Schizosaccharomyces pombe: one gene and its partner. The protein of the gene in region 2 interacts with the protein of the main gene of each other region in a biochemical or structural test. Each region holds a gene or a part of one and is shown on either strand. Other genes may lie near its edges.

What was found.
Region 1: the proteins of dsc5 (region 2) and cdc48 form a complex in vitro, tested with the Schizosaccharomyces pombe proteins (one study listed by BioGRID).

What each region holds. Positions count from the first base shown.
Region 1 is NC_003424.3:1,298,388-1,316,169, reverse strand, and holds cdc48 (AAA family ATPase involved in ubiquitin-mediated protein degradation Cdc48), read right to left. Parts: upstream 9,726-17,782; 5' UTR 9,714-9,725; coding exon 9,658-9,713; intron 9,602-9,657; coding exon 7,228-9,601; 3' UTR 6,904-7,227; downstream 1-6,903. Other genes in the region: tvp15 (COPI-coated vesicle-associated protein), read right to left, coding at 1-71; fsv1 (SNARE Stx8), read left to right, coding at 1,706-2,449; DNA-binding transcription factor, glucose starvation sensing, Rst2, read right to left, coding at 3,487-5,190; knd1 (cullin-associated NEDD8-dissociated protein 1), read left to right, coding at 10,553-10,589, 10,628-14,253; GTPase Spg1, read left to right, coding at 15,152-15,281, 15,328-15,536, 15,690-15,773, 15,814-15,888, 15,928-16,026; protein Utp8, read right to left, coding at 16,459-17,782. UniProt on the Schizosaccharomyces pombe protein: ATP-dependent chaperone which probably uses the energy provided by ATP hydrolysis to generate mechanical force to unfold substrate proteins, disassemble protein complexes, and disaggregate protein aggregates.
Region 2 is NC_003421.2:1,804,082-1,818,903, reverse strand, and holds dsc5 (UBA/UAS domain-containing protein), read right to left. Parts: upstream 2,820-14,822; 5' UTR 2,803-2,819; coding exon 2,695-2,802; exon of another isoform or gene 2,508-2,694; coding exon 1,332-2,507; 3' UTR 501-1,331; downstream 1-500. Other genes in the region: U6 snRNP-associated protein Lsm7, read right to left, coding at 85-376, 431-480; SPRY domain membrane protein, specificity factor required for ubiquitination Ear1, read left to right, coding at 3,421-4,569; dual-specifity cAMP/cGMP phosphodiesterase Cgs2, read left to right, coding at 6,273-6,362, 6,424-6,432, 6,479-6,891, 7,344-7,872; coatomer delta subunit Ret2, read right to left, coding at 8,645-8,920, 8,991-9,394, 9,453-9,492, 9,537-9,539; wtf antidote-like meiotic drive suppressor Wtf18, read left to right, coding at 10,370-10,508, 10,747-11,019, 11,068-11,391, 11,428-11,619, 11,660-11,722, 11,773-11,900. UniProt on the Schizosaccharomyces pombe protein: Involved in protein degradation through the ubiquitin/proteasome pathway.

The DNA of each region.
Region 1 (17,782 bases), on a different chromosome or scaffold from region 2:
ATAAATCCGCTTAAAACGAAGATACCACCTACGCCCAAATTAATGGCACTAAACATTTTTGTTTTATCCATTGTGAATTAAGTGTATGCAACCAATATTAAATTTTTCAAGCAATATGTATTTTAGTCGATGTTTGCTTAAAGACAAAGAGAAATGCAAGTTACTAAGCCTGCCTATGCTTACCGATGCGGTCATGCATATTTACGAACTATTGAAATACGGTAAATAAAAATAACGAATTCCATAATTCTCAACCAACTTTTTGTTGTTTACAGAAAATGAATAATTCAATTCATCGAAAATGCATTTTGTTTTCTATAGCATTCTTTGTACTGTTTTTGAAGTTAAAAACACTATCATTTAGTAAATAATGTACTTTCGACCCGGCTTTTTTTTGAGACAACTGTTGTTGACAATTTTAAGGTCTGTGGGTCAATTTATATATTTGTCAAACGTTCGTAAACAAATGTATTTGTATCTTAGTTTCATACGAGCTCCTTTAGCTATATGTGATCTACTCTCACTCGGGATCTACAGGGCTGTAAAATTTTTTGCACTCAAGTTTCACGCGATTATTATCAGATGCACCTGAATAAAAAAGAATAAAGTAAAATAAAAAGCCGAATGTTTTATAACGTAGTAAAATTCCTTCTTATTTTGATCGCTTTGCCATTCATTTGATTATGTTTATAATGATAATTTCACGTGCAATGTCAACTTTGATAGACGGCTACATCTATTTCTAATTCGTAACGCTATAAAAAAAAACTCCATTTTAAACTGAGAATAAAGCAAGAAGTCGATTAGCCGAATATAGATATCAGCATGATTCGTTTTAAACGGCCCAAAGCCTTGTATATATTTGAGTAATTTTCTACTGTACTTAATTGTCTGTAATTAAACAACTATTTGTTACTCCTACCTTGTTACACTTGGATTTAATACTCTGGAATTAGTGTACTAACTCCTAAATAAATATTTAAGTAGTATTTTTCTTTAAGATATTTCTTTAATAAACATTCTCTTCTAATGAAAAGAAAAGCGTCATTATTGGTATTTTAGTTTTCAGAGCAAAGAGGTACTTAACATTTATTATGTCGCAATTATTTTATATATATATTATATTAATATTTTGTAATGAGAAACCTAGGCCTAATAGTGTAGTGGTTAACATACCTCTTTCGGGTAATCCCCACTTGTATGCTGAGTTTAGAGGTGATCCCTGGTTCGAATCCTGGTTAGGCCCCTTTTTATACTGGGCTTGCTGTATAAATTTATCTGATTAATTTTGAAACTACGCAAACCAACTTTCAATAATTAAAAAGTTTTCCTTACACCTTGCTTGATTACCTTTTAATAGATGTGAAATAAGAACTACTAAATTTGTGATAAATACCGAAAACAATCAGAAGAGTCGAAAAGAAGCATTCAAAAAATTGTGTAAATAACGAGTAGGTTTCTAATAATACGATAATTTCACAGGATGCCTATAATGGATCTGGCAGCTAATGAGCAAATCATTTTTACTTTTTTTTTTATTTAAAACATACGAAAAGATTCTCTTTTTTTGCTGCAAACAAAATTTACTGTAATTGAACCTAGAATTGGTAGCAAAGGCATTACACCGTATTACTGTAAACTTCACTAATGTTTGTGTTTTTAGGCGCATGATGAACATGATTACTCAAGAAAGTAACCAGCGACTATGTCAAATTTGCTTCTGATCATTGACTCGGTTTCACAAAAAATAAGAGACAGGAGGAAGTTGGAAGAGTTTGGACAGAATCCCGATGAAGAAATTGAGTCTTCATTGAAAGATGTTCGGCAAGAATTGCAAAAACTTAATGAGGAGCAATCGCGATTAGAGAAAAATGCACAAATCCCAGAGTACAGAGTACGAGAATCCGAAGCATTTCTTATTAGAATGCAAAGGAGGTTAGAGTCTGCTGAGGAAGAGTTTGAGAAGCAGCGGCGTGCATCCTCAATTCCTGCTGACGGAACAAGTGCCTTTTCTGCAAACCCGCAAGTTGCAAGTACGAATAATAAGTTAACTCCCCTTCCTTCTTTACAAAAAACGACTTCGAGTAGTGAGGGATCTGATATTGAGATGGAGGCCATGTATCCGGTTGATGGCAATGACCCTGATCCCATAAACGTAAACGTTTTGGCTCAAATGCATCAGCAAATGCTCAACGAACAAGAAGAATCTTTAGGAGGGATCGAAGCAAGTGTCCAAAGGCAAAAGCGGATGGGATATGCAATGAATACAGAATTGTCCGAACAAAATGTTTTACTAGATAATATGAATAATGATGCTGATCGAATTGAGAGGAGGTTTGATCATGCAAAAAATCGATTAAACAAGGTCAGCCGAAAGGCTAAACAGTATCCCAGATGCTTTATTATTTTGCTCCTTTGTGCGTTGTTATTACTTGTGGCTTCCATTTAGGGTGCAAATAAATATCACTTAGCAATTGTACTTGCTGTAACTCTGTTACACTTTCACTTAATTCTTTTATTTCACGTCCTCTTTGAACTAGGCTATATAGTTCTTTTATTTATATTTAATAACCGTGATATTTACGAACTTTTTTTTTACGATTTTGAAAATGTTTTTGTGATCTTCAACTTCTTTTGCTAAACGAACCTTCCCTTTATAGGGAATACAGAAATTAACTTTTTCGTACATTCCAGTTTCTAACCATTGACTGTCTTTCTACTTTAGTAATTATTTTTCTGCTAGCGCATTTCTTATCGAAATCATTTTTGTGTTCTTTTAAGGGCCGTCCCCCTTGTTCACAAAGCTAGTTTTGACGACTTAAATCAAGTGAATATAGTGCATGCAGAGTGAATGCTTAATAACCATTTGTTACAAACTTTGTTTCGCTAATAACTCCTTATTTGACATTTGAATAAATAACCTATTAGACTTTCAAAATTTTTAGATTCAGGGCAGTAAACAATAAACAACAATATCTTCAATTAGCTGTATCAATTTATTTTCAGAAGTTTTGCTATATTATTCCTTCATCTCATTAAAAAATATTCTCTTCTATTATTAAACATACGTAGTCATGTTATCATTATCATTATTAAGGAAAAGTTTGAACGAGTAGATTCTTTCTTGAGAATTAAGGGAACATGTGCTTGAATGCCATTTTTTTCATCTTAAATATAAAGCCTCCGTTGCTATTGTTAACCATATCACGCTGAACCTTTTTTGATAATAAAATATCAGAAGCAACCCTCTTAACTAATGTGTTGTGAACCTCTCAGCATTGCATATCTTAGCGTAATTAAATATTCGGTAAAAGAGGATCGTTTTCCTATCAACAATTGAACCCCAAATCAAAATATTCAAAACTTCAGATCAATCCTTAAATTAATTAAAAACCGAATCAAAGCTAGTTGATTTTTGTTTAAAAAAACTAAAAGATGCATTTCATTAAGAAACAAATAGTATAAAATATAAAGATATGAAAAAAATTAAAATGAGGGCGGTTGATTCCGATTATTATCTGTAAGCAAACCGGAAGTTTCGGATACAGGATAATTAAAGTCTGAAGACCAATTTGCCCCATTGTTATTGAATGAATTAAAATTAAAGAAAGGAATTGAATTGGAATTATCTAATTTCTCAGACTGAAAATTAGTCTCCATTTGATCCCCTTCGTTGTTCAATGAATTTGAATTCTCAACGCCTTCAAAATTGTAAGAGTCAAAATATCCCATCGAAGCGAAGGCCTGATCTTTATCGGTAATTTCTTCAGATAATGAAATGCCTTCTTCTTTGATGCCTTCTGATATTCTTCCTTCCATATCAACATAGCCTTTTGGAGGATAAGCTTCAGATGGATATTGCTCTGTTCCTAATGGCGAATTAACATGTGCATATGTGGGCAATCCAGAAGGGATCGAAGAAGGACTCAACGTTAATGGTTGCTGCATTAAAGATTCAGGGCTATAACAGCTCGGTGAAAAATTAGTGCCACTAGGCGATATGCAAGACTGACGCATATGTTCGAGATTATCAAGACGAGTATAATCCACAGAATTACTCTTAGGAGGATTCTGAAAAAAGTAACTATTTGATTTGTTGATCAAAGAATCTTTTGGTGAAGCATGAGGAGAAGGCATAGCCTGAAGATTAAGAAACGAAGCAGAAACATCAGATGGGCCACTAGGTTGATTGAAAGTAGGAAGATTTAAAGACTCACTAAAACTCATCCAATCCAATTTATCAATCTCGTACCCTTCAGGAATAGATTCAGGAAGTGTCATATTCATAGCGTAATTTCGTGAAACGGCGTTAGGTGAATACGGCATTCTAGCCAAACTTTCATCGTCTAATTGACCTGAAAGGCTTTCAGGTCTATTAAAGTCATAAAGCTGCGGGTGTTGATAAACAGAAGGCCTCAAATCGCTGGCAATGGTTGCCCTACGATAGTACAAAGGACTGTCGGGTCCATAAGGCACACCGAGACGTTGATCTGACCATTGAGAAGATGTAGGATTTACTGCACCAGATGCAGAGGCATTTACCGTTTCCCTCCCATTACCGGCAGAAACCAGCCTTTGTTGTTGGGCTTGCAACCAACTTGCAGAAAATGAACCTGAGTTGTTCGCAAGCTGCGCTTGTAGTGCGGCATGCAACTTTGGATAACGAAATTTGTCAATGGAATCTGCCTGAGGTAAAGAAATAACAGGTTTAGAAGCTAAATTTGTTGTGCTTACCGAAACATTTGAAAGAGAAGGATTGGGTAAAGCCGTTGTTGAACGACGTCTTCTTCGAGGTTGTGGATTCCTATGGATTTTCTGTTGGTGACGAAGTAGAAGATCACGCCTCGAAAACTGTCGACCACAACCTGTAGGTAAACCATCAATCTCACTACAAGTAAAAGGCTTTTCGTTGGTATGAGATCTGATATGTCGTTTAAGATGCTCCAATCGAGCAAAAGCGCGTGTACATGTTTCACAAACATATTGTTTAACTTTCTGGGGTGGGGCATTAGGGTCCTTTTTAGCAGCGGTAGAAGAAGCCACAGGTTTTGAATTAGAAGTAACAGAGCTGGGTGTATTAGCATTAGAGGTACCAGAATCGGAATTAATAGACATCAAGTTTTCCGAAACTTTTGATTCGGATAAAGTATTAGCTTTCGAGGCTATCGGTGCTAAAGACTCACGCGTCATGATAAAACAAGTTTTCAAATTAAACAATTATTTTCTTATTTTTCAAAAGAAGAATATGTTGTTAAAATAAAAGATATGAAGGGAAATAAAGCTTGAAAGTGATTGCAATCAGGATTCAAAAAGACTAAAAACGAAAACCGCAAAATAATTTTCGAAAATGAAATGCAAGATCCTAAATTAGTTATCAACAAGTCAGAAAAAAGAAATAGCTAAATAAATCAAAATTGACTTGTCAGAGAAATACAGGTAGGCAAAAATAAGCAAGATATAATCTGCCAAATAATTTTACCAAATAACGTTAATAGCAAAGCAACAGAATATGTTAAATATTTCTTAAGGACAACAGGGAGATGAGAAAAGTAGTTGAAGAAGGAAAATATGAGGAGAACTGTTGAGATGCCAAACTTTTTTTTTTTAAAGGGGATAAAAAAAGAGTGTAATCAAACAAAAAGCCACCGCGAAGAACAACAAGGAAAGAAGGTCGGTAAAATAGACAGAGAAAGAATAAAAACAATCGATTGAACCTGCACACAGTAATAGCACAGATAAACAAGAAAAGACACTTGAAAAACTTAATGTACTTCAGAAGAGTCTATTTCAAAAAAAGCCTGGAAAATAAATTTCAAAAAGATAAACGCCATCCACACTTTAAATAGAATTAGACACTAACTAGGAAATAAGAAACGTATTGTCGAAACAATGTACGTCAAGAGGAGAATCGGAAATGTAAGGAAAGGAGAAAGAATTAACAGTCAAATAATAACTGAAACAAGGCACGTGAAGGACAAAAAACGAATCCTATAACATATATACTAAATGTCTGATAGATTGGTTAAGGATGTCAATTTTATACATCCAAACTAAAAAATATAAAATAACAGACAAACGCTTTGCGGTTTTCCTATTTCACAAAGGAAAAACCAAAATTGAATGATAAATGAAGTGTATCCTATGCGAATTGTAAAGAACAAATCAGCTTTTAACACTTAAAAACGAATTTTAGTGCAATAATCTTCAATGATCTGAAACTCTGCAGTGAACTCGTATTTTACAATTCGAATAAATGAAGTTATTGCAACTTAGAAGTAAAAATCTTCTAGTGTAAAAGATTCTCTTTCCTTTCTAAGCTTACTAACTGGTCAAGTGGCGAAAAGCCGGATATCGACGATTAATCGTTTTTGAATGTTTTCACTGACTTCTAGTAAAAACCTTGATACTTTTAATTACTCAAACTTTCTGAATCCGTCAAAACTCTTTCTTAACAAATAATTTCAATCTCACTCATGTATATGGAGGATTGTCAGTTTAATGCATGTCGTTGTCGCGACTAAACAAATTTTATAATAACCTAATATTTCCAGGTAACACAGGTAACGATGCTTAAGGCACCATGTGGAAATTCTGAATCGACATTACATACTTTTGTGGGGGTAGGGTCAAACTACGGTTATCTGCCGAACAACATGTCCATGAGCTCGCAGATATCGTCCACTCGTTGTGGTCGATAGTGGAACATCCCAGTTTTAGCTCTTCCAGTAGATTTAACGGGGCGTTGCCTCCACGAAGAGACTTAACATCGCTAGCACACTACTAGCATAGTAGCAGTTCACCTTGAAAATAACTACACATACAAATATGCTACTATTTCGATAACGACATTTTAGGTTAACACTTGGATCTCCGGGTTGGCTTCTATCTATATGCCGATCGTTATGTGAATCGTGTGAAAATGCACATTTCTACACTTGCAAAAACTGACGAAAAGTTATAACTAAACACAACAGTCAACATAATAGTATGCTGTAGTAAACTAGACTTGGGCGTTCAAGAATTTCTTACTCATAAAAAAAAATTCGTTCTATTCAAAGACTAAATTTAAGAATCCCTACAAACTCATGTTAAGTAGCAGAGAAGTCATTATTATCAATCAATCAATCACCTTTTACAAAAATGACTTCAACAAAAAGGCAAGTCCATGTTCATACATAAATTTTGTTCATCATCGGATATAGAATTCATGCATTAAGGTGGTAGTTTCTATGCATACAAATCATCAGCACCATCATTTCCGAAGCTTGGTCCATTAGTATTACTATCAGCCGAATCAAACTGGAATCCTGTAAGACCACGCGAGGTAAGGAGTTGATGGGCATAAGCTTCATAACGACGGACTTCTGCATCACTGACAGAGCGGCGTGCCATTTTCATGGCCTCCTCCACATGATGACGCTGAACTTGAGACACAGATGCATCTTCGTCCATAACAACATCGTCAGCAGGAGCCTCTCCAGTCTCATTTTCGCGCTTGATGTCTTCTTCAATGCTGTCCTTGATGGCCAATTTAACAGCTCTTTGTACAACAAACTCCAAATCAGCACCTGAGAAGCCATGGGTCGCCTTAGCAACTGCACGCAAGTCAACATCTTCAGCAACAGGCGTATGTCTCAATTGAGTTTGCAAAATGCTGAAGCGAGCTTCTTCATCGGGTAAGGGAACGTAGATTAATTGATCCAAACGACCGGGACGCATCAAGGCAGGATCAATCTGATCGGGACGGTTGGTAGCACCAATAACAAATACATTCTTCTTGCTGTTAACACCATCCATCTCAGTAAGAAGTTGGTTGACAACACGATCACCACCACCAGAGTCACCAGCAGAAGCGCCACGTGCTTTGGCAATAGAATCCAACTCATCTAAGAAAACGACACAAGGAGCTGCAGCACGAGCCTTGTCAAATATATCACGAACGTTTGATTCAGACTCACCAAACCACATGCTAAGCAATTCGGGTCCCTTTACTGAAATAAAGTTGGCAGAACATTCGTTGGCAATGGCTTTCGCCAACAATGTCTTACCTGTACCAGGGGGTCCGAAAAACAAAACACCTTTGCTGGGAGTGACACCAAAACGCAAAAACTTTTCGGCATACATAACAGGCATCTGGACAGTTTCACGTAATTCACGCTTAACTTCTTCCAATCCACCAATGTCTTCCCAACGAACATTGGGAACTTCCACAACGGTTTCACGCAAAGCAGAAGGATTGCTGGAACCAAGGGCAAATCTGAAGTTATCCATTGTAACACCTAGAGAGTCTAAAACCTCGGCATCAATCTCATCTTCATCCAAGTCAATCATATCCATCTTTTCACGAATCTGTTGCATGGCAGCTTCAGAACACAAAGATGCCAAATCAGATCCAACGTAACCATGAGTCTCAGCAGCAATTTGCTCAAGATCAACGTCATCAGCAAGCTTCATGTTCTTTGTGTGAATACGAAGGATCTCTAAGCGGCCGGTGGGATCAGGAATACCAACATCGACTTCACGATCAAAACGACCAAAACGTCTCAATGCCGGATCGATAGAGTTAGGACGATTGGTAGCGGCCATTACTACAACATTACTACGAGCTTTCATACCATCCATTAAAGTCAATAATTGTGAAACAACACGTCGTTCAACTTCACCATTCGTTTTTTCACGCTTGGGAGCAATAGAATCTATCTCATCAATAAAAATAATAGCAGGGGAATTTTTTTCGGCTTCTTCAAACGCCTTCCGCAAATTAGACTCAGATTCGCCTGCCATTTTTGACATAATCTCAGGACCATTAATCAGGAAAAAGAAAGCGCCCGTTTCATTAGCAACTGCGCGAGCCATTAAAGTTTTACCGGTACCTGGAGGACCATACATAAGGATACCACGAGGTGGCTTGATACCTATACTTTTGAATAATTGGGGATGACGGAGGGGAAGCTCGACAAGCTCACGGATTTGAGCCATCTGGCGACGACAACCACCGATATCGTCATAGCCAACTTCTGCCAAGCTACTTTCTTCATCCTCACGATTAATGGGTTCACCTTCCCAATGAATAATTGTATCCTGGCTAACAATGCCAAATTCATCAGGAGCAACATCAACAACTTTAAATTCAACTTGACGCATACTACCCCGTACAACGAAAAGATCGCCCTTTCGAATAGGACGATACGCTTCAACAAAGTACGGCTTAAGGTAAACATCAAAGAGAGAACCAGTAAGACCCTCGACGGTATCAGCCAAGGGTAGTACTGAAATTCGTTCAGCATATTTAATATCTGGACAAGGATTGATCGTTACAATATCGCCTAACCTTACGCGCAAGTTGTTACGAACAACACGATTAATTCTTGCTACGCCATCTTCCATTTCTTCGTCAGTTAAAACAATCAAGACAGTGTCTTTCCGTCTCTTTCCTTTAACGACAACTGTGTCACCACGGAAAAGTTGTAAAGTCTCCATGGTATTGGACGACAATGTGATTACTGAGTTATCATCGTTGGTAGCGTCATCGACCACTAGAGAATTTGGTTTTCTTTTTTTACGAAGAATAGCTGTTGCTGTGTCTTCTGCACTATATGTACTGAGCTTGTTAGCATCGAATTCTAAAAAAAAGTTACTGCTACATCGAAAACATACTCTTTTGGAGGGTTTTCACCCTGAAGGTGTTCCACTTCTGGTTTCTTATCGGTCATGGTGGATGGTGCGTTCATTCGACCATGCACCATGCGCTTATATATGAGCATTCAATTTATAAAGATACATGAAATTATTGCTCAAAAAGGTAAATTATTTCTAAATATTCTTCTAATTGTTTTTTTTCTGTATAATAACATCTGTAAGCAGTTGAGTCTTTCTGCTACATAGCTGCCTCGCAAGGTCGTTACTACCAATTTCCATTATTTTCGCTAGATTGTTTTTATTTAACGCATCTCTAGAAAACACGTATTGTATAAATTGCCAAATTTAATTTATCTATTCTTCTTTTACCAAGGAAACGTCGTTGCTATTAGAATGTTCCAAGAACATCAATAGTAAACAATTTTCTAGTAAAATCTACGAGGAAATTTTAAACTACAGAAATGCAAAAATTCGAACGACCGCCCTATATCTAAATGTGCTTAAAACTTCATTACTAAGCATAAAATAAACATTTTGAGTGTTATCCGTTTTCAATTGAAATGAAACTTGGTTGGCGGTTTAGTAAGCTAAATATTTTAGTTTGAAACCCTTGCAATATTATTTATCATTATAACTATAAACATCAATTTTCTAGAAAGCGTTTTGTAAAAGTGTTTAGCAGTAAGTTAAGGCTAATCAAATATTCTTCTTTTATGGTTATTGATTGTATTGCACAATCAATAATAAAATTAGTTCAATCTTTAATAAGGAATTTAATGTGTTTTAAATATCCATACTTACTGTTCGTTATATGGCTTATGGTGTGGAATCCTTTATGATACACGCTGTCAGGCTCATTGTACAAACTGCTGAATCCCTACCTTAGTGGCCATAAAAATTAATCAATTGTAAAATGGAGGAGGGAATTTTATTAAAAAAATACGTTGAAAGTATGTTAAAAATAAAAAACTAGCTCTAACTGTTGCAGGTAGCGATAAAGACATACGTTACATGGCACTCAGCGATTTAGCTGCCCGACTTAATGATGCAAACCATTTGAAAAATCTCAAATTGGAGAGCTTTCCTGATACACTCGATGTTTTATTACAAGCACTGAGTGATGCTTCGCCAGAGGTTCAACAAGAGGCAGTTCGTTGTGTTGCTATAATTTCTAGCAAAATTCCACAAGATAAGTTAAAATCTACTGTTGAAAATTTGCTTTCTGGAGTTGCTGGGAAGAAATCGAAAAATTACTTGTCTGCTCTCAGTTTGCTTTTGTCCAACTCGAACGTCCAACCTTTCGTAAACAAATTTTATACTTCGACTGTATTCCCTTCATTTTTACAAATTTTAAAACAGTACAACGTTGCTCAAGAGGAATTTTTTGCAATTCTCTGTGTGGTCTGTGATTCTCTAGAAATATACCATTCTAATCTTTCGACTCTTCTACCTAACAATTTTGAATTGTGTATAGACGTATTCCAAAAATGTACGACACAATGCCAAAGAGAATTAATTATTAAAAAGGCTTGCTATCTCCTTTCTGACGTATCACTTTATGGGCCTCGCTTTGCATACAAATATATAATTGAGGTGCTTGATCGAGGTTTGGGACCCTCGACCCAAATGTCCGAGGTAAATATTTCTATTAAATTGCTTAACGAAATACTTCTGTCATCTAAAAAAGAAAAAGATTCATCTACATCATTCATCTCAACAGCAGTTGCTGACTACACCAATAAAATATTATCGTTATTAAAGAAGGAAGAAGCCCCAGATGAGTTAACGCAAAAATTGTTGGAGGTTTTAGGATTGTTATTAGAGTACCAACAAGTGAATATTTTGAAAATTTGGCCAGAATTACATGGTCTCTTAATCTCTAAAATTTCTTATGATCCCAATTTAATATCTGATACTAATGATGAAGATGATATCGCTGACTTTCTCGAAGAAATGAGTGACTATAGCAGCATTTACGAAGATGAAGAAGATGTATCTTGGATTGTTAGAAGAGAATCTTTGAAAGTCGTTTTGTCTGTAATTTTGTCACGTTTAGAGTATTTGCCTATAGTCCTTCAAGCACTAGGGACTTCTGTGGTTAGTAAGTTAAACGATAGAGAGGAATCTGTTTGCTTGATTTCTATCGAAGTATTAAAACAAGCATTCTTGCATGTTCCTCGTTGGATAGAGGTGTATGCAACTTCTAATGATAGAAAGCGTCGTTATGAAGGGTTACCATCGGACCGTTCAGCAATATCGGATACTTCTATTTATTTAGTGTCTGTAATTGGAAAGCATGTCTCTAAGTTATCTGATAAAACTCCACTTTCCATTGTATCTGAATTACTGAACCTAGTTACAGTGATTTTTTCTTCAAGAGATCTTGGTGTTCAGTCCGAATTTTCAAATCTGAGCTCAATTATATACCGTTTTCCTGATTTTTCAACCCTTGATATAAAAATTAAGCTGAATTTAGTTCGCTTAATATCAGCTATCATTTCTTGCGGCTGCGAAGAGATAGAAAACATGGAATCTAAAATGTCAACTATATTAAGTTTAGCGGTACAAAACAACTACCCACAACTTTCATACGAGGCCTTAATTACTGAGCTGTCATTTTGCAAATATATTCATAAAAAGCAACCCACTAACGTCTCAACAGATTTTTCCACAATGATTGATTCTTCACTTCAACTTTTGGAATCTAAAATTTCTGACTTGAAAGTTCGTTTAGCTTTGATAGATCTGGTCTCTCAATACGTAATTCTTTTCTATGAGCCTGATTTTGATTCTATATTCCTGAGACGTGTCTTAATTATTTTATGTAAAAAATTACAGGAAGAGCCCACTAGAAGTGCTGCTGCAAGAGCGTTATGTGATATTTTCATGTCCGTTACAGATATTACTAAGATAGAAAATGGAACAAAAATTTATGAAGAAATACTCCAGGATTGCTGTAGGCATATCGACAAAAGTGGCAATGAATTTACGACTGCTTATTTGGAACTATTAGAAGTGCTCTTGAAAGTTGGACAAAAATATCTCGCTGAAAGCTTGCTTGAACATATCTTAGGTTTACTGATCGAGACTCTTAAAAGAAACACTGAGAATACGGTTGCAATTTTAAAATGTTTGCTAATCATACCTTTGAGTATCCTTTTGAAATCAAAAAATTTACTAATAGACACTATAATTTCTCATCTGCAATCATCAACCATACATTTGAACGAAGAGTCCGTTTGTTTGCTAAGCAGAATTATTGCTGTTATTTCGAAAGAAGAAGATTTGGAGTTGATTATTAATTCTTTCACTTGTGCACAAAAACCTGTTGAAGAAATGGTTACATTGGCATTGATTGCTGCACAACTGATTTGTATTTTTCAATCAAAGGCCATTGTTACGTCTCTGAATAAAAGTTTTATGAGTCCTAAATCAGAAGTACGGATAAAAGTTTTCACAACTTTAATTTTTGGACAGCTTGATTACGGGAAGCTAACACTTCCTGCAAATGAGTACTTTGATACGATTGCAAGTAATTTAAACTCGCCGAATGCAGATGTTATGAAAGCAGCAGCTATTGCCTTAGGGTCGCTTACTAGTCAAAGTGAAAAATTCATAAAAGAATTATGTGCTTTATACGTCTCAGATGCTTATGATAAAGAACTTTTATTAATTTCCTTTTTAACTTTTCTTAAGAAATCAAAAATCGATTATGAAACAGCAGATAAAATATGGGATATCCTTTCTAAGGACATTGAAAACATTAAAGACTTTTCCACTTCTCCCTTCAGAACTCTTTTATCTGAATGTCTTGGTCTTTTAATTTGTAATGAATCTTCTAGCTTATATTATAAGCTAGAACTTTTATCCTCCAGTGAAGCTTCAAATCATATGCTTTTATCTCTTTCGGTGTTTCGTTTTTCGTTGACATTGGACTGTCCTAAACTGAAAGCTTATGAGAAACAATTTTTTGAAAAGGCGTATAAGCTATTTCAAAATCCAGACCTCGAAGTTAGTCAAGAAACGTTGCAGGTCATAATATCTGTGATAAAAAATAGGCGTTCTTGCATTGCAGACGTTTATAATGAACTTTTACAAGGCTTAATTTCCAAATCATCAGTTGATTCTAGTAACGTTCATGTTGTACAAATGGGCCCTTTCCAACATGTGGTTGATAATTCAATAAATCAACGGCAGCTAGTATTTGAAACACTTTATTCCTTACTGGATATCCCTGAATCTTTGAATCATTTAACCCATTTTTTACAGGTTTCTGTCATGGGGTTAGAAGATGAACATTATATTAAGCTAGTATCTTTGTCAATCTTGGAAAAACTTGTCGACTGCAGCCCTTCAATTATAGACGAGCAAGTAGACACTATTTTGGAAGCATTACGAAAAATTATAGAGCTTAGAAAAACTGAAAAGACTTTAAAGACAGATAGCGATAATATCCTTGATTTGGTTCGTTCTGCTTTGAGAGTTTTGTTTACAATGAAGTTGAAGTGCGACAATCCTGTAATTTCTGAATTCGAAAGTCAAGTTCAAAAGGGTCCTTACTCCTTGGAATATGAGGGAATAAAGAACGAAATCAAAACTACAATTAAAACTTGAATTTGAATATAATGTTGGAAATTCCCTTTGAATTTTTACTGGCATTTGATTACCTACAATATTTCAATGTTGAAACCTACAATGCGCTTCTCAACTGATATATTCATTAATTTCAGATGAATCCAGTTGACGCATTAAACAGTAAAAGCTAAGGTGTGCAAAATGAAACAGAAAAATAAATGCTGACCATATTTGTCATATTGTTAATTATGATAATGTTTAGAGGCATTTGGTTGACTTAATATATTAATTATTACTGGCTTGTTCTGGTCGTCAAGCATTTTAAAAATGACACTGCCATGTTAACGTTCAGTCTTAGTGTAACTTCTAATTATCAGTATATGAACAATTTTAGTACCTTTATCATATTATGGCTTCATAAACACCTGGCGGCTCGGTACCACAATCCCTGGTAAGAACCCGAATTCCGTTGCAATGCGAGTAAAACCCAGAAAAAATAGTCCCGAACAAACTTATGAGTACAAGAATTACGAATAATTCCAAGAGCAATTAACAACGCATCTCATTTGGCTCAATAATTAGCACAAACAGTTATGGAATTTTACATTATCGATAGCAAATAATCAAAACTACAATTTACTGTAAACCCACCAGTTATAATAACTAGCTTTTTTATAATTACTTATTATAAATAAAGATCTTTTCTCGTTTTAATTTACAAACTAATATATTACCAGCATTCTTTCCATTGCTTAAAAAAATATATGTACAAGTCAACGTAACACGACGTAGCAAGCTATGTCATAATACGCTATTCATAATAAGCCAATATATATATTATAACACGAACGAGGCTTCTTATCCTATGCAAAGGGAAATTGTTCATCTACTGCCGGGGTTCAAGCAGAGTAATATCAGAGGATAGGAGTTTTAAAGAATGGCAGATGCTAGAAAAAATAACGTCACGATAAAAGTCGGAATGATTGGAGATAGTTCAATTGGCAAAACATCTCTTATGGTAACTTATGTTCAGGGCTCATTTGATGAGGAAAGCACACAAACGCTTGGTAAATATTTACCTTTATTGGGAGATTTCTAACTTAACAAACTTAGGAGTGAATTTTATGGAGAAAACAATAAGCATTCGAAACACTGAAATTACCTTTTCAATTTGGGACCTTGGAGGTCAGCGAGAATTTGTAAACATGCTACCGATGGTTTGTAACGATGCCGTTGCAATTCTCTTTATGTTCGATCTTTCAAGGAAATCCACATTAAATTCTATCAAAGAATGGTATCGTCAAGCTCGCGGTTTCAATAAGGTATGAGTTCTTTCGTTCCGATATACGTTTATGCACGTCCGGGTTGTTTTGATTTTGTTTTTAGAACCGATAACCTCTGTTCGTGGCTAAACTTCATTAGATTACTTTTTATCGTACTCAGTATATCTCTAACTTAGTTACTAACGCTTTCAGACCGCTGTCCCTATATTGATTGGAACAAAATACGATCATTTCATGACATTTCCTCGTGAAGATCAAGAAGAGATTACCAAACAGGTACAAAAATTACTAGAAGTCGTATTATTAACTTGGTTAGGCACGTCGTTATGCAAAGGCCATGAAGGCAAGCTTGGTATTTTGTTCTACTTCACACTCTATTAATGTGCAAAAGGTATAATATCAGTTGATATACTATATTGACGATTTTTAGATATTCAAAATTGTTTTGGCTAAGGTGTTTGACTTAAAATGTACTATTCCTGAAATAAAAAACGTTGGAGATCCTATTTTGGAATACATCGATCGCTGATTTTTAATGCTTTACCATCTCTTTCTTTTTTTTTTTACTCTGATTTTACCCACACTCCTTTATCATGTTTATTTTCCCGAATTTTTGTGTCATTTAAGTATTGCTACCTTTTCCCTTGCTTTTGGTTTTAACGACATATTCATTTACTCAACTCTCTGTCAAAATATTTAATGAATTATAACCACGATCTCTGCAACTTTTGGTTTTTTGTTTGAACGAAATCTGTCTAATTAAAAGTGATCTTTACCAGTCTTTTGTTTTATCAAACTTTTAGTTGATATAGCTTTGCAGTTGAAAACAAGGTCTGAAATATCTTTGAATGTGGTATACTGTCCCTTTATGTACAAACATTATTTAAATTAATTTTTGATAGATTTTTATTCCAAAAAAATAACCCCTATATGTATTTCACAAATAAACCTGTTTTTCTAATTATATTTCTAAACGTTCAACTGTATATTTTCCAATAGCCATGTCAATTTCTTTACCACGGGCACGTTGGCTTTTACCTTTTCTTTTTTCGGAAAGAAAATCTTTTTTCAGTAAAGTCGCAAGATCACCCATGTCATCCACAATTGCTTTAGGTTGTGGATTGGCGTAGAACTGCACTCGTTCAGCATGTACGTCTTTTTTACGCTTAACAATTTCGGAAATTGCAGGGAGAACAAGCGACATAGCTGTTAAATTCGTTAGCTTTTCCTGTAAATCATTGTAGAGAATCCTCGCAGCCTCTAAGTTTTCAGAACTCGATGCAACGCCTCCAACACCCATTGCATCGAGAACAACAGACAAACAGTAAATGTACGTTTCCAAATTAAACTTAACAGATGCAAGGTTAGAGTCTACTACTAGGTTGCCCAAGGTTTTAAAGAGTGAATCAAAATCCTCGGGAACAAAAGCTAAAAGCAACGCTTCTCGGGATGTCGTGCTATCAAACAAAGATAACCTCGCTAAAGCACTTCTTAACAACTTAACCTTGGAGGAATTGATAGCTGTTTTAATTGCGCAAGCTATTTCATAGGCTGAAATATCAGAAGTTCTTTCCAGGAAATTAAAGGCAATGTCTTTTTGAAATTTATACAAACAATCAAACACGGAGCCCGAGAAACCTTTTTGTACCAGAGTTGAGTAGCTAAATAATCGGTGTCGTATTAAGTAATTGAGTGTCCCTGAAGCTGCACAACTGACCTGAAGCTCATTTTCCTCATCAAGGGAAAACAAGAGACTTTCAATTGCATGAGCAAATGGAATAGGAAGCACACTGCTTGTTTTAAGAATTTTGCAATTGTTGGCATACTGATTCTGGTATCGTTCGACAACACCTAGGAACTTAGCATCAAACTCTATGGTATTTTTTTGTTCAGCTAAGGAACGCAAGGAAATTAATTCATCACGAAGTGAATGATCTTGCAACTGTATATTTTTCAATAGTTGGTCACGCATCGAAGGACCATTTTTAGATTTTGTTAAAACTCCTTCGCCGATGAGTTCATTGGTTCCGCGTAGCTTTCCGATTTTTGAAGTACGTTTACCAACTGCATCGGCAAGAAGCATTTTTATCGGCAATGTATATGGTACAATGGCCAGTCCCTTCTTTAATAATACAGCAATGTATCCAGTTAATTGGGAGTTTTGATTCATTTTTTTTAAAGACGACTTATAACAGGTAAAAGTGAGAATCGTGGGTTTCTGTTTCAAATCGTAAACATCTTGAATAGTTCCGAATGTTATGTCCCATAAAGATAGTTGACTATCA
Region 2 (14,822 bases):
CAAAACATGCACATGCGGTATAATAATTAACTTGTAGTATTTTATTAACAATAGTCAAACATCAAATGAAGGGCTTGTGGCTTTTTATTCAGCTTGGACGAATGGATTCGGTATCTCCTCAGAACCATCCATGGGAGCAATCAAAACTAAAGTTGTTCCACGAACGACTACAAGACCTAACTTTCTAATAGCTCCAGTAAGTTTACCATCCTCAGGATTGCGAAGCTGTTCCTCTACATCGTCAAGTACAAGGTTCATCAACTGATCGAATCCTTTTAGAATACCGGTAATTTGTCGGCCCCCCGTAAACGTGGCTTGAATTCGTTGATCTTGATATCTAGAAAGATCAAGGATAGATTCTTTTCTTGGTCTTTCACTATTTAAGAAAGTTAGCAAAACTCATGATGCTGCTCGTTCCTGCTAGACTTACGTCGGTTGACTAGAGTTACCTGGGCCAGGGCGTTTTTGAAGACTGGACATTCTTTGTATCTAGAATAACCAGGTAAATTATCAGCTATTGCCCAGAAAAGAATAAAGTACAGGTTCAACTTGACGATTCTCCTTTTTACGATGATTGTAACGTGATCGAACGTATCCTTATATGGTTCAATTTGAATGACTTAAGACATAGCAGTAAATGGAATATAAAACACGCTACAGAAAGGAATGTAAAATAAACTTGCTCAGTCTGAAAGGAAATAATTTCACCGCTTTACTTTTCCAATTTTGTTAGAAACGTTGAGAAATTCCATGCTTGGGGTCATAATGCTTGACATAAAGTGAATCTAATGCACTAATTTGTATATTAATTATATAAAAATTTAACATTAATGAAAGTTTAAAGGTAAAATTTAAGCTGTTTAGAAACAAAGCCACTAGACTTTTTCGAATTGCAATAAAGAAAGATTTATATTTTAAACAAATTTATGTTCATAATACATACCTCACTCATCACAGACGAAAGCTGGCAAAACTTTTATGCTACAAAGCCTAAATTACTAGCCTTTGTCCTCCATTGCAAAGAAAATCGTAGAAAACAGAGATGAAGATGACATGCATAGAAAAGGTTTTTGGCAAAGAACAGAAAATCTAGTGGAAATCGACTATGTACTCAGATTAAAGGGTGCATTGAAAGTTTGCTCAAAATAAAAAGTCAATGCGTCCAGTAGACATTCATGCCATAAACAACAATTAATTCAGTAGTAGAAATAGAAAAGAGAAAATAAATTCATCATACATCAAATCTTAGAAATGTATTTAAAAACGGATTCGAAACGTCGATAGTCGTAAATTGTCATTATGATTTAAAAAGACAAACAATTTTGTTAATTTCAATCATCCAGCTCCACCACCACAGTGCCATTTGGAAAGATGGCTTTGTTAGTAGAAATAGCCACTGATGGTTTCAGCAAAGCTCTGGGCAAAGAAGAATATAGTTGAAAATGAAAATCATGCTTATAGTCACTTGGTGGAGTGACCGGATTAGAAGATGAAGTAGCGCGACCGAATTCTTCAGGCTCCTCTTTTTCAAAAAGCATATAATCCACATAGTTGTAAACGGATTCAACAGTATCATCCTTCTTAAACCTTCGAACAGCCCGAGATCCGTCGGGAAAACGGATCGAAAGACGAGCAGGTTCATCTTCAGATGATGGCTCCGGTGGAAGATTAGAAGCAAGCCAAGCACGATATTGTTTTTTCTTTTTCTGAACGATTTCTCTTTCTTCTTTCTCCTTTGCAAGACGCTCTTCTTCTGCTCTCGCGAAAGCTTGACGCTCGCGATCGCGGGCAAGGGACGCTTGATAGGCATTGTCTTGTTGACGTCGTAACTCGCGAGCAGCTTCTCGTGCTTCTCTCTCCGAACGGAAACGCTCAAGAGAAGGAAGATGTTTAGCCAAAGCATTAGTTAGATTGGTAATGATGCTGGAACTATCAAGACATCCATGGAGTTGGGCGGCAACTACAAGCTCAGATAGCTGAGGTGAATACATAACAAGGACTGCGGAGGGAAATTTAGTGCAGTGGAATTGACGAGAACCTCGGAAAGCCTCATCCTCACAAACATCACCAGTCCAGCAAAGAATGTTTCGACGATTTAAAAATTCCTTTAGCTCTTGGTTCATAAGAACACTCCTGGAAAACGTCTCAGAGTCATCATTCTTTGAGCTAGTAAAGAAAAGCAATGCGACTCCATAATTACGCTTAATACGTGTCAACGCTTCCATGTAGCCGCCATCAGTAAAAAAATCAATATGCTCAGTACCGTATTGCTCTTCTAAATTCTGAACCAGCTTGTTCGCAGTGTCTGCAGGAGAAAGGACACGCTTAGTAGTACCAAAAATGGGGATAAATGTTGAAATCAGAGGAACCCTTGACAAAATCATCCATAGTTTGTGCAACCCACTGAATAGCAAAGAAAAAACAGATTGAAAGACGCCGAAACTTAATCCAAGCTTTGAATTTCTATCGACTCTTGACGATTCTCCAGTTAAACTCTCGATCGCTTCCTAATCATAAAACAGTTAGCAAAATGGCTCAGTCCCAACATTCACCGAAAATTCGATTAGAAAAATAAACGACAACCAGAGGATTCCATGAATGTTCAGTTGCAAATAACAACTTTCTTGGAATTTTTCAATCAAAGCAATTGATCACTATCGAATACTGAAAATGAATGCTTGCCGTGTCACATACCTGAACGTCCCAATTAAATGATTCCAAAACAGATTGAGCAGTATCAGCAGGAACATCAAGAGAGTTCCTTAATTCGTCTATTGCTTCTTGTTTTCGAGACCCTGACATGGTAGGTGTTGTTGGTTAATGGACGGAGTAGTATCCATGTGGCCTTTACGTGGTGCTTCGTAACCTTCCTTTTCCCATTACCATCTGAAATCCGGAAGCAAACATTGAACGAATCAAAGTAAATTTTCGAATAAAAATTTGGTTAATTCCAATCTATGGTTGTAAAAACAGAAAACTTATAAGCATAATTGTGACGGAGCAGTATTATCTGGTAAATTGCCGCTGATTTTCGATTTTACCTTACAACAGGCCATTGTGGCTCCTTCAGGAATAAATTCTTTTTTATCTTAAGAATTATATCTTATTTATTTAAAGGAGTTTGTATTTTCTCCTGTAAACTTGAAACAAGTATACCATTTCGCCCAATCCTTGAGCATTCGCAAAAACCATATTAGTGCAATATTTGAGATACTTGCATCTACGTTAGATTTAAATATTGTATCTCGTGCTTAATAAACTGCATATCTGAGAGAAAAATCCTTTTTCTCTTAACCCTATACTATATCCTCTTATAGCTAGGATTTTACTCTCAGTTATTTATTTCTCTATTAAATATACACTCGCAGATTTTCCTTTTTCAAATCTTATATAAAAAATTATTTTTTGCGTCTTTGAGTCATGCATCCCGATCAGATTCGCCAGTTGAGATTACAGGAATCTTCAAACACCCATCCTAATTTAGCAATCCTTTTCATATTTATTGCATTAGCCGCTGTCATTGTTCTTTTAATCTGTCTTTTGTCAGTCATCTTATTACTGCGATACACACGACATGGACGGATCTTGCTGAAAAACACCAATCCTGGTGAGTTGGACGACGAAGCGTTAGAGAATGAACATATTGATGAAGAAGGATTTAGTTTATTGGATGATATGGGGAAAGAACGGTATTTACAAGCTCGTGAGTTTGAGTTGAATTCCATGAAATCTAACGTCAACACGGATGCAAAGCTGCTTGACTTCCTACAAGTTCAAGAGAAGGGCGTATTAGCATGGCACTTTATCCCAAATCAGGAATATAATTGCTATGTTAAAAATAAAACTGAATTGTCTTTTTTGGGCAACGAAGAATGTTGCATGCAAACCAATTTGCCTTTGCAGAGGATCAATGAAGTATACTATTTTGAAGTAAAACTTTTAGACGTACCTATTGATACCTTGGTTTCCATCGGTCTGGCTACCAAGCCATATCCGCCGTTTCGATTGCCTGGTTGGAATTTTTGGTCTACTGCTTATGTGTCGGATGGAACACGCCGCAGTAATTCACCATTTACGGGAAAACCGTACTCCTCTTTCTACCAGCAGGGAGATGTAATTGGTGTTGGTTACAAACCGAAGTGCAATCGGATCTTCTTTACACGTAACGGTCGTCGGTGTGCAGAACTGCCGTGTACATATCGAAATTTGTATCCTACGGTTGGTGCAATTGGACCTTGTACCTTACATGTCAATCTTGGACAAGCAGGATATGTATTTATTGAAGCAAACATCAAGAAATGGAGACTCGCTCCTGCGGTTGGAAGCTTGGCTCCTCCTCCGTCGTATTCTACATCGCAGCCAACTATTAGTTGGGATGCAGCTAGTGAGTCTTCAGCGGGTACAACAACGCAGGGCGATACAAATAGACCCGACAAATCGAAAAATAGGTCACCTCCAATAAATTTTGATGGTACCTCGTATGATGCGGCTGGTAATGTTTTCAGTCCATCATCATCCAACAATCAAGCTTATCAAATGCACTCCATGCCTGCTACCGATGAAGTATAAGGAGTAATGTATAGCTTAGCACTAACAACCTTCACGCCAAAACCAAAGATCAAGTTGTGGAAATGTTTGTGCGTTGTGTTTCAAGTTAGTCCTAAAATCGAGAAATGCACTTTGTATATGAATTGAAGGGGATGTGTTGATGTTCAATGTATTTATTTTCTTTATAATAATTTCTTCAAAATTAGTTATAATTATTAATCTTAATTAAATTTACTCTATGTTTATTCGCTCAATTAATAAAAGGTTATTCACAATTTATTATGATTTTTCGTATAATGTTGCTATTGAGTCTATACTGTTAACATCAACCTTCATCGAATTCCGCTGGTGAGAAGTTTTAACGGAGGAATTCATAGGGTTGTCAATCCTGATAATGAAAGTGTAAAAGGAAATTTTCGAAAGCGCTTTTTTACATTTCTAATTTTGCGTAGTGTCATAAAATGCAATTCCTGGTAAAAACAAAGCCGCTTAATTATTAGTCTTGTTATCTTTTGCTGTAATAAAAGGAAATCTACCTTTTTATTCCAAAGGAACAAATAAAGCAATTCGATACTGCAGTGTGACATTCTTTGTGAGTAAAAAAAAAAGGGAGTAAAACAGAGAACGTATTCAAGTAATATTCTGAGAATTGTTTCTATTTCAAACTTTTATAGCAAGTTTCCAATATGCCTTTAGGTATAGACTTAATTGAAAAAAGACCGATCATTATCAAAGGGAAAATTGGGATATATTGCTAATTAAAATATCTACCTAAAGGCTGCTATGCACCTATGATGATTTCTCTCCATAGACCAACAAAAAGTTCAATGGAAAGCAATTTCAGCGGCACATACAAAAGATTCTTCAAATAGGTAATTTAGGAATGTTTCTTTTGATTATCTTGCATAAAGGAAAAGGAGATCATATTTTGAAAGCTCTTACAACGATTACCACCCTCCCTAACTGATGCAAACTGGTTCTCAGCAGCACTGACTGGAACTATCTAAGTACTCTATGAAAAAGTAAGAGTTAGTTTAGCATAATCAGATAAAATGACTGGGACTTACGAATCCTCAAAGTCCGATAAAGAACCAAGTTCATACGGAAATCTATATTACACGAGGTTCAGTTTTTTGTATGTATAATGAATTATTATTTTAAAAAACATATTAGTGTCCGATAGTTTACAATTGTTTGCTAGTCGGTCTCTTAAAGAGAAGGGCATAAACTTCTGCCGACATTGTTAAACAAGCAACAAAACTTCCCCTCAGAAATGTTAAACGATAAAAAAAGGAAACCTCTGGAATTATATAAAAAATAGCTCTCTCTCTTCTCGTTACGTGACATTCTTTAAGGGTGTATATTGAACCTTCGGAAAAATTGCTCTCATAAGGAAGTGATACATGTCAAACGTGTTTCATCAAAGTCGCATTTTTTTTCTTAATATCTTACTTAAAGCAGCAAAGCATAACTTCGTTCCTCTCCACTTAACGACTTCCATCCTTTTATTTATTCATAGCATACTTCTTCACCAAGCGGGCACATGAATAAGGATAATTAACACACTACACTATACCCCGAGTTTCTCCACATTTCGAGCATCGTTTATCGTACCCTAAATCTACGGTAGTAAATGTATGCTTGTAATAAATATGACGTCAACCGACATGTTTTTGTAGACTAGTGCATGCACCGGAGATCTGTAACTCTCCATAAGCCTAGCCATGCATGCAGCACTCGAAATCAAAGAAGCTGAATTTCAAACCGATCAAGTAGTAGGACTCGTAGAAAATTCTTTTACATTATATTCATTGGTATGAAAAACGAAAAATATTTTTTTTTTTGAAGAATTTCGACTAACGTTAACGAAAACAGGGACAAAATGTAAGAATTCAAACATTATGCATTGAGAGCCATGCTGACTTATTAGGGGGGTCCATTGGAGTCTTGCTGTAGCAGTCATTTGATTTCTGATGGCGCATTTCAAGAAATTATATCGCTGGATGGTGGAAGCCACCTATCGGCGTTGGTTGAGTTGATCCAGTCAAAACACCTGTCCGTCGATTCTTGGTCTTCCATCACCAAGTATGACAATTATACGGTGGAAAATGAATCATACGCAAAAGCCTGGCACCTTTCAGAGCAAAGGATTAAAACGTTTCTCATCACACACTGTCATTTAGACCACATCTATGGAGCCGTCATCAATAGCGCCATGTTTGGTCCTCAAAATCCTAGAACCATAGTTGGGTTAAACTATGTGATCGATACCCTAAAAAAGCACGTGTTTAATAACTTATTATGGCCTTCCCTCGACAAAGCCGGATTTATTAATTTTCAGGTGTAAGTAAATTCTTTCTCAATAGCTTCTGTCAAATGAAAATTTTTTCATTGTTTTAGTGAATAGGTTGAGGGTTGGGAAGGCAATGTTGAGTTTTGAAAATTTTTTATTTTCTTCATCTTAGTTGAAGAGATGTATGCTCGTCTTTTTTTCCTTCAAATCTATTTGCTGAACACACATTTATATATTTTGCATATATGTAAACTATCTGCTGACGCTTTGGTTGATTTGCATGGTTTCATGGTACTTGTGCAATTTTTTTTGTGAGACAGTGATATTATTTGAAAGATTGCAAAGATTGCAATAATAATTATATCTCTTTTTCTTTCACTGTTCTAATATCTTTTGTTCTTGTTCAAACAAGTTAATGAATTTAACTCTTATGCGAATTTGCTAAATCAACCCCATCGGCATTTCTCTTTCTCATTTGACAATGAGACTAACCTCTTTTTAGGGTTGAGCCTTCCATGTATACTAGTTTAACGACTACTTTGTCTATATTGCCCTTTCCCGTTAATCATGGCTCCTCTTTCGGTCAAGAGCTAAAGTCGTCTGCATTTTTATTTAGGAATAACCTATCCGACAGATACTTTTTGGCTTTCGGGGACGTCGAACCCGATATGGTAGCCTCAGAACCGCTTAACATTCATATTTGGAGAGCTTGCTCTAGTTTAATTGCTCAAAGAAAGCTTTCTCATATTCTTATCGAATGCTCCACTCCTGACATCCCTGATACTCTTTTGTTTGGTCATTTTTGCCCTAGACATCTAGTGAACGAGCTTTGTATACTCCAATCTCTGGTCCAGAGTTATGGCGTTATCATGCCTACCCTTACGTGTTTGCTCACTCATTTGAAATCACATCCTCTTCAGTCGGCGAATCCTGCCGATGTTATATTGGAGCAGTTAGAGTCGTTGTCTTCCAAAAGTTCTCTTTCAGTCACATTTAAAATCCTTCAGCGTGGTCAATTTTATAAATTTTAATAGCATCCCAGGGTCATGGTCATATATTCATTATATTTTTATTTTTTTTTTTTAATTTCTTTTAGGTTTCTCCATTTATTCGTTACGCCCTTTTATCCTTCCGCCGTTGCCGCATGTCTTTCTATTATTGAGAATTCTGTTGGAGGAATTTTGACTTTGTTGTTAATTATTGAATGCTAAAGCAATTAATTATTACCTTTTTTTATTTTTCATTACCAGTTCATCGTACCTCGCTTTGCTGGTTTACTCTCATTAGAATTTCACGCTTTTCTCATCGGACACTTTATTTTCAAAAATAGAATGCTTTTTCTTTGTTTGCCAATCTGCTTTACTTTTTAAATAGATTTCTAATTTGGTTTTTTGTTGTTGTTGACGAGGTTTATAGAACGATGGGTTAAAAGTCTTAACCAGATTATATACTTGAATAAATGGGTTATATTATATGACGATTTCTCTGTTCTAATATTGTTTACCTAGAAACAAGAGGAAGCATTCCTAAAGGGTAGCGGGTATATTAGTTGAGTGATGAATCAATATAGGTTTGCTCTGCTTTTTTCGATTGGATAGACTAGGAAGTATTCTGGAGGGTATGAAAGGAACAAAGTGTTCTATTACAGTTGGTAATGGTCGACTCTTGATTACGATGTTTAATTTGGGATAGAAAAATGATTATTATTTCTAGTTATCGCATATGATCGTAGGAAAAGCACATTACAAAGGGGAAACGAACCAAAACGGATGCAATGATCATAAAGGGCGCTGGAATAGTAAATTAATATAACAAGCTAGTATTCTTCTTCTTTCCAAGTTGCATTCCTTTCGCTTTGGGAGCAGAAGAAGCCTTTGCTGCAGCGTGATAAGACTCCATGGCAGATTCGTCTTCAACATTAGACGTAGCAAAGGTTGTATTAACTGTTTGATACCCAATGGATTCATACGCATCTGCACTGGGAAGATTCTGAGCCGCCCGTCTTGCAGCTTCTTTCTTTTGTAATTCAAGTTGTTTGATGCGGCGCTTCCTTTCTTCAGTTGCTTCAATTTCTTTGTTCTAGAAAGTGCATTAGTAAAACCATACAAAAAAAATTTCGATGACTCCACCCCTATGCTTCAACACGTACTCTTGATACAATTTCTTGAATTTTCTCTTCGTGACTCTCCATTTCCAAATAAGTTTTGATCTGTGTCAAAGATACATTGTCTCTGTAGCCAAGGCTGGTAGCTTCGTCAAACGCAGTAAAGATTTCAAATGCATATTCCAGAATCTCTCGTTCTTCAAGCGACGAACAAATCGATGTTACCACTTGAGAGAGGAGATGTAATGTATCAATGTCTTGCAAAATATTAGATTGTAAATTGGTGATCAACACGATATACAGTTCGTCCAACGGTTGGTATACGAACCTGACGTTGTCAGACTCCACCGTGGTATTTTGAGACTTTTCCGAAACGAGAGCGGGGAAGGAAGACAAAAGGCTTTCTACTCTTACACGAGACATCTCACGAAATTGTCTCGAGATGATGGCTAAACAAATTTACTGTAAGCCTCAAGTCCTTGTTAATAGCTAAACTACTTTTCATACCTTTTCCCCCACGATTCACAATACTTACTGCCAGGACGACCTACCCTTTGTTAAAATCAACACGATAGCATGAGACCTTCTTACCATTTTTTGAGACTCCTAGTAATAAACCACACACAATGATATGGTGCTAAGTAAAGGGTAAACGCTGCGTTATGCGTGTAAGCACGACCAACACAAATACCGCAAAATACTGTGATACATTTAGCAAAACCAATAATGCTTTACACGTTACTTACAATACTGCAACATGTTACGCTTCCCTAAAGTTTGACGCTATTCTACGTTATAATAGGATTCGTTACGTATCACTATATGTCACATGTTCTTTTGGTATATTGTATTACCGATGATACGATATTGAGATAAATTTTGATGGAAATAGCATTAAGATCTATATTATTTGAACAATATAATTAGAATCCCAACTGAACCTCACTCCTCACACAATTGTAAGCTGTATTTGTGATAGGTAACAATACAACTTAATAGTACAATACCTACTACCTGTGTATCGTAATATCATAGGTCACAAGGAAATTTCACCGCAGTGCTATGTTTCGTTAAACCAGATACCAAACTGCGTAGCTGACATTATATTATACTACAACGTTTGCTTCTCAAAAACGTTTAAGGAAAGCTAAGTTGGGGTGAATAAAAAGGGCAGTGACAAAATAAATGTGTCAGAAGCAATTCACTGCCTCGTTCAGTTTTTTCGTTCTTCTTTTTTTATGCCATTGTTTGAAGGAATTAGTTGGAAATTTGTTTGAACAATTTTATTATTTTGTTAAAAAGTCTTTAAAGCGATTGGAATTGGACTACAGAGCGAATATTCTTGATTTCGCTGTTTCGTTTGTCGCAATCACAGCAATTAATTCGCGCATGTGTTTTATTAAATAAAGAATGATCTTGATGAAATGAAGAATAATTACACTTCCTTGAAAAGTCCTCTAGATGAAGAAGATGAACTGAAGACAGATCATGAAATCGATTTGGAAAAAGGGCTACTTCCAGAATATAATTCAGAGGAAGAGGGCACACTGCCTCTATATTCAGGTAAGAATTGTAAATAATAAGAAAGGAATTATTCAATTGAAAGTTGTAACTTTCTATTGCTGTAAAATAATTTGGATGTGATCATTGTTTACAGTTGGCATATCCAACACTTGATCATTTTCAAACATGCGCACATTGTATTTACTCATGTTATCAACTCAAGATAAATCATTCATAATTGAGATATACATTTTACTCATTCTTTAAATATTACGCTTTAGGCTAACTATAAATGCAGACATTTCGAAACTTGCTAATCCTGTACCTGAGGATTCAAGTACAGGACCTACAGAAATTGCGAATCCCAATGTCGAAAGAAGACAAGAATTCAAAGATTCACATCCAAATATATATTTCCTTCTGAGACTACTAATATCAGTTCTTGCAGTTAGTGTTGTCTTTTTTACTGCATGGGTTTGTGTAAACCCGTTGGAGAAGTCGATATTCGGCAAGGTAGCTTTCTCCGTCACAATTGGTATAACATGTCCAATATTGTTTATTGCTACTTTCTGTAAGCTATGCATGAAGTTGTTAATACGTCCATTCACTAACTCATTAGGCTTCTTTGAAACTTGGACCCAGGCAGTGGCACAATGTATAAAGGTGACTGTAATTTTCTTGGCACAATGTGTAAAGGTGACTGTAATTTTCTTGGCACAATGTGTAAAGGTGACTGCAGTTTTCTTGGCAAAATGTGTAAAGGTAATTGCGGTCGGTTTGTATAACTCAAAAAAAGATTTGGTGGTTACAATCTGGCTCGCATGGGTAGTCATTTGTTTTATACTCTTTGGTTGCGTCAAGGATGGTAGACTAAACTTAAATAAGGCACTCATCTGTTCCACATGCAGTATTTCGGCTGCTTTATTTTTCATTTTATTGCTTGGTAAGTGAAATTATCTTGCTAAACGCTAACATACAGTTTGTATTCCAATTTGGACACTCAAGCATATGCTTTTTGGTTTGTTTCAAGTGCTGGGTGTACAAAGTTGTGTCGTTATTGTAACGAAAGGTTTGATGTATTTATTTGATAAACATATCGACGCGACAGGCTACGAAATTGAAGCCTCTTCACTCTTTGTTATAGGAAATTTTCTTTTCTTTTACGAAATGGGTTTGTTTAATATTTCTGTAATTTATTCTAACCGTATCAGAATGTCCAGGTGCTCTCAAAAGGATGCCCAAATTTATCAGGAATGGTATAGCTTCTTTCCTAGGTATGTGTATTCAACCAACTGTATGAATGATTCTTTACTTACCCGATTAGAAGGTATAGGAAATGCATTTGGAGGGATAGGAAATGCAATTGGGCGGATAGGAAATGCGTTTAGAGGTGCCAACGATAATAATAATAACATTCCCTTGGAAGAAACGGAGGCCGAAAGCGAAGTCTAATTGCTTTATTATTGTAGTTGTCGCTCCAGTTGGAAAACCTCTTTACGACAATCACCAACGCAGAGAAGCTGCGGCTTTTTAAAAAATAAGCACTAACATTCTTTAATTATCCTCTTTCTTTATAAGTTTATGGAATGTATGCTTAACTTATTCTTTCAATTACCAAAAATTGTCAAACCAATGCATCGCTTAAAATGGTTCGCGATGTTGGATAATCTGGATAATATGCATTGAGATTCGAATCTCTTATTTATTATGATGCGAGTCTAATTATGTGTCTTTTTTAATGGAACCCAAGACACAAACAATAATGGTTTAACTTGTTTACGACAACTTAAAATCAACTAATGAAATCGGAAAACTCGTTGTTCCGCCTTGTTAAATTCACAATTTCATTTTCGTTTATTGCATTCATTTCTCCTTCATCTTGATTCTTAATGAATCAAGCTTAATTATCATTTTTTCCATTTGTTTAATGGTTTACTTTAATACAAACAAATTTCAATGTTTACGAAATAATGAATAGCATAATAAAATATTGTGACTCAGAACGATGATTTGTTATCGTAATAACCTAAAGACATATTGCAATAGTGAGTATGTAATAACGCAGTAAACGTATATACTGGTTTTATGTTGAGTTTCTTAATGATGCATAAGGAAATCTAAGTTGGGGTGAATAAGAAGGGCAGTGACAAAATAAATGTGTCAGAAGCAATTACATTTTGAAAATGAGTTTTGGAATTTTACTTTTCACTTGCTATTATTGAAAAAACAGTTTGCTTTGAAACGAAGAATAATTACACTTCCTTGAAAAGTCCTATAGATGAAGAAGATGAACTGAAGACAGATTATGAAATCGATTTGGAAAAAGGACCACTCCCAGAATATGATTCAGAGGAGGAAAGTACATTGCCTCCATATTTAGGTAAGAATTGTAAATAATAAGAAAGGAATTACTCAATTGAAAGTTGAAACTTGCCATCTTGTCAAATTGCATGCTTTGGTCATTGTTTACAGTCGGCCATGCAATGCACACATTTTAAAACATGTTCTTTCTTTACTAAAGTCTTTCATTATATTAATTTAAACAGATCACGCACGTGTAAGCAATCCTCCTAACGCACATAGAGAAAACCATTCTTCCGGGACGACAGATGATTCTTCCCCTTTTTTGATTAAACTACTAATATCATTCACACCAATCTATGTACTGAATGTACTCGCAATTTGTTATCTAAAGTATAAGGACGCTTTTTTTGAGACTTATGGCGCAGCGGAATGGACATTATTTGGATTTTGGTGTCTTGTTTGCACTTTGGTTTTAATAATCTTGACTTGTAAGTGAGACAATAGGACTAATTTTACGTTCATTCACTAACTCATTAGACTTCTATGAAACTTGGACCAAGGCAGTCAAGCACTTTTTGAAAAAGTGGAGAAACATGATTTTTGCTTTTTGTAAAAGTTCTTTATTTTGCTTGGTTTTATTAAAAGCTGAAAACAAATTGAGTTCACATTTAGGTGATCAACAATGGGGATGGAAATGCTCGGCATCCGCTTTCACTTTCATGGCTGTATCAAGCATTCTCATATTCATTGCTGAAACAGGTTTGTTGTTTACTAAACATAATTAATACTAACGATATAGTGGAACCGGGATCTTGCTCTACAGATTTGGTGAAAAGAACACTAGCACTTTATGGTAAATTTGATGATAAAAAGAAGTGTACTTTAAATTTGTTCACTAATTATTTTTAGAACGTGATGCCAGACAACACGTGAATGAATACACAGCTATTCCATTGCATGAGATGAACCCTGAAAATGAAGCCTAATTATATTGCTAACTTTACTATAAATTCTACAAGAATGTGCAATGGAAAGAAGCATCTATATAAATGTGATTTACCAAACAAATCATGATATGTTTAGACTATATCACATGTATTTTTATTGCATATTTCATTTCCTGACGAATTGGATGAGCAAGTGCATTGCTTGAAAGGCTCCGTGAATAACATACGCTGGGAATTGAATATTAAAATAATGGTTTTATTTATTCGTTTTAAAATAGCAGTTCACTAATTGACTGTTATCGTCAACTAATGAAATTGGAAAACTCGCTGTTCCTCCTTGTTGTATTCACAACTTCATTTTCGTTTATTGCATTCATTTCTCCTTCATCTTAATTCTTAATGAATCAAGCTTAATTATTTTTTTTACTTTTGTTTAATGGTTCAATTCAAACAAATTTAATGTTTACAAAATAATGAACAGCATAATAAAATATTATGATTTCGAACGATGAACTTTTTTCTAGCTGTAAAATAAGCTTAAATACGCTTCAATGCTTATCCAATGTTAAGTAAAAGAAGTAGAAGATAAGTGGAAAGCACAGTTAATATGTAGATTGACTTTTGTATTCTTTTTTTTTTTTTAAGGATAAAGAGGATCGTTAACTTTGATCTTAAAATTAGAAAGCTGTTATAAGCATATTTGAAGCTTGCGGTTTTGACAGATGCCGACTAGTAACACACTAATTAATTCAGTACGTTTACTCCAGTTGATGGGCGTTCTCATAGACACACCCGTTTGGGACAAGCTAAGCTAAGTAGAACGGCGGTCTCGCTAAAGTACAAGTTTAATTGCAAGTTGCGATGAGGTCCAAAAAGTCTCCTTTTTGCGATCAATATTCACCCCGTCTTGCATGAAAGCATGTCTACATATCAAACATGTAAAATTTTACCAGATTAACACTAAAGTCTTTTTCTTTATGATACATAATGAGTACCTACTTACGAAGAACTAAGTGAAGACCTACTTATCTTATAATAAACCGCAACATGAGTCTTGCAAAATTCAAAAAGAGCAACAATGGAGTGCGCTATAGGTGAACGAATGAGCATTTATGATTACATC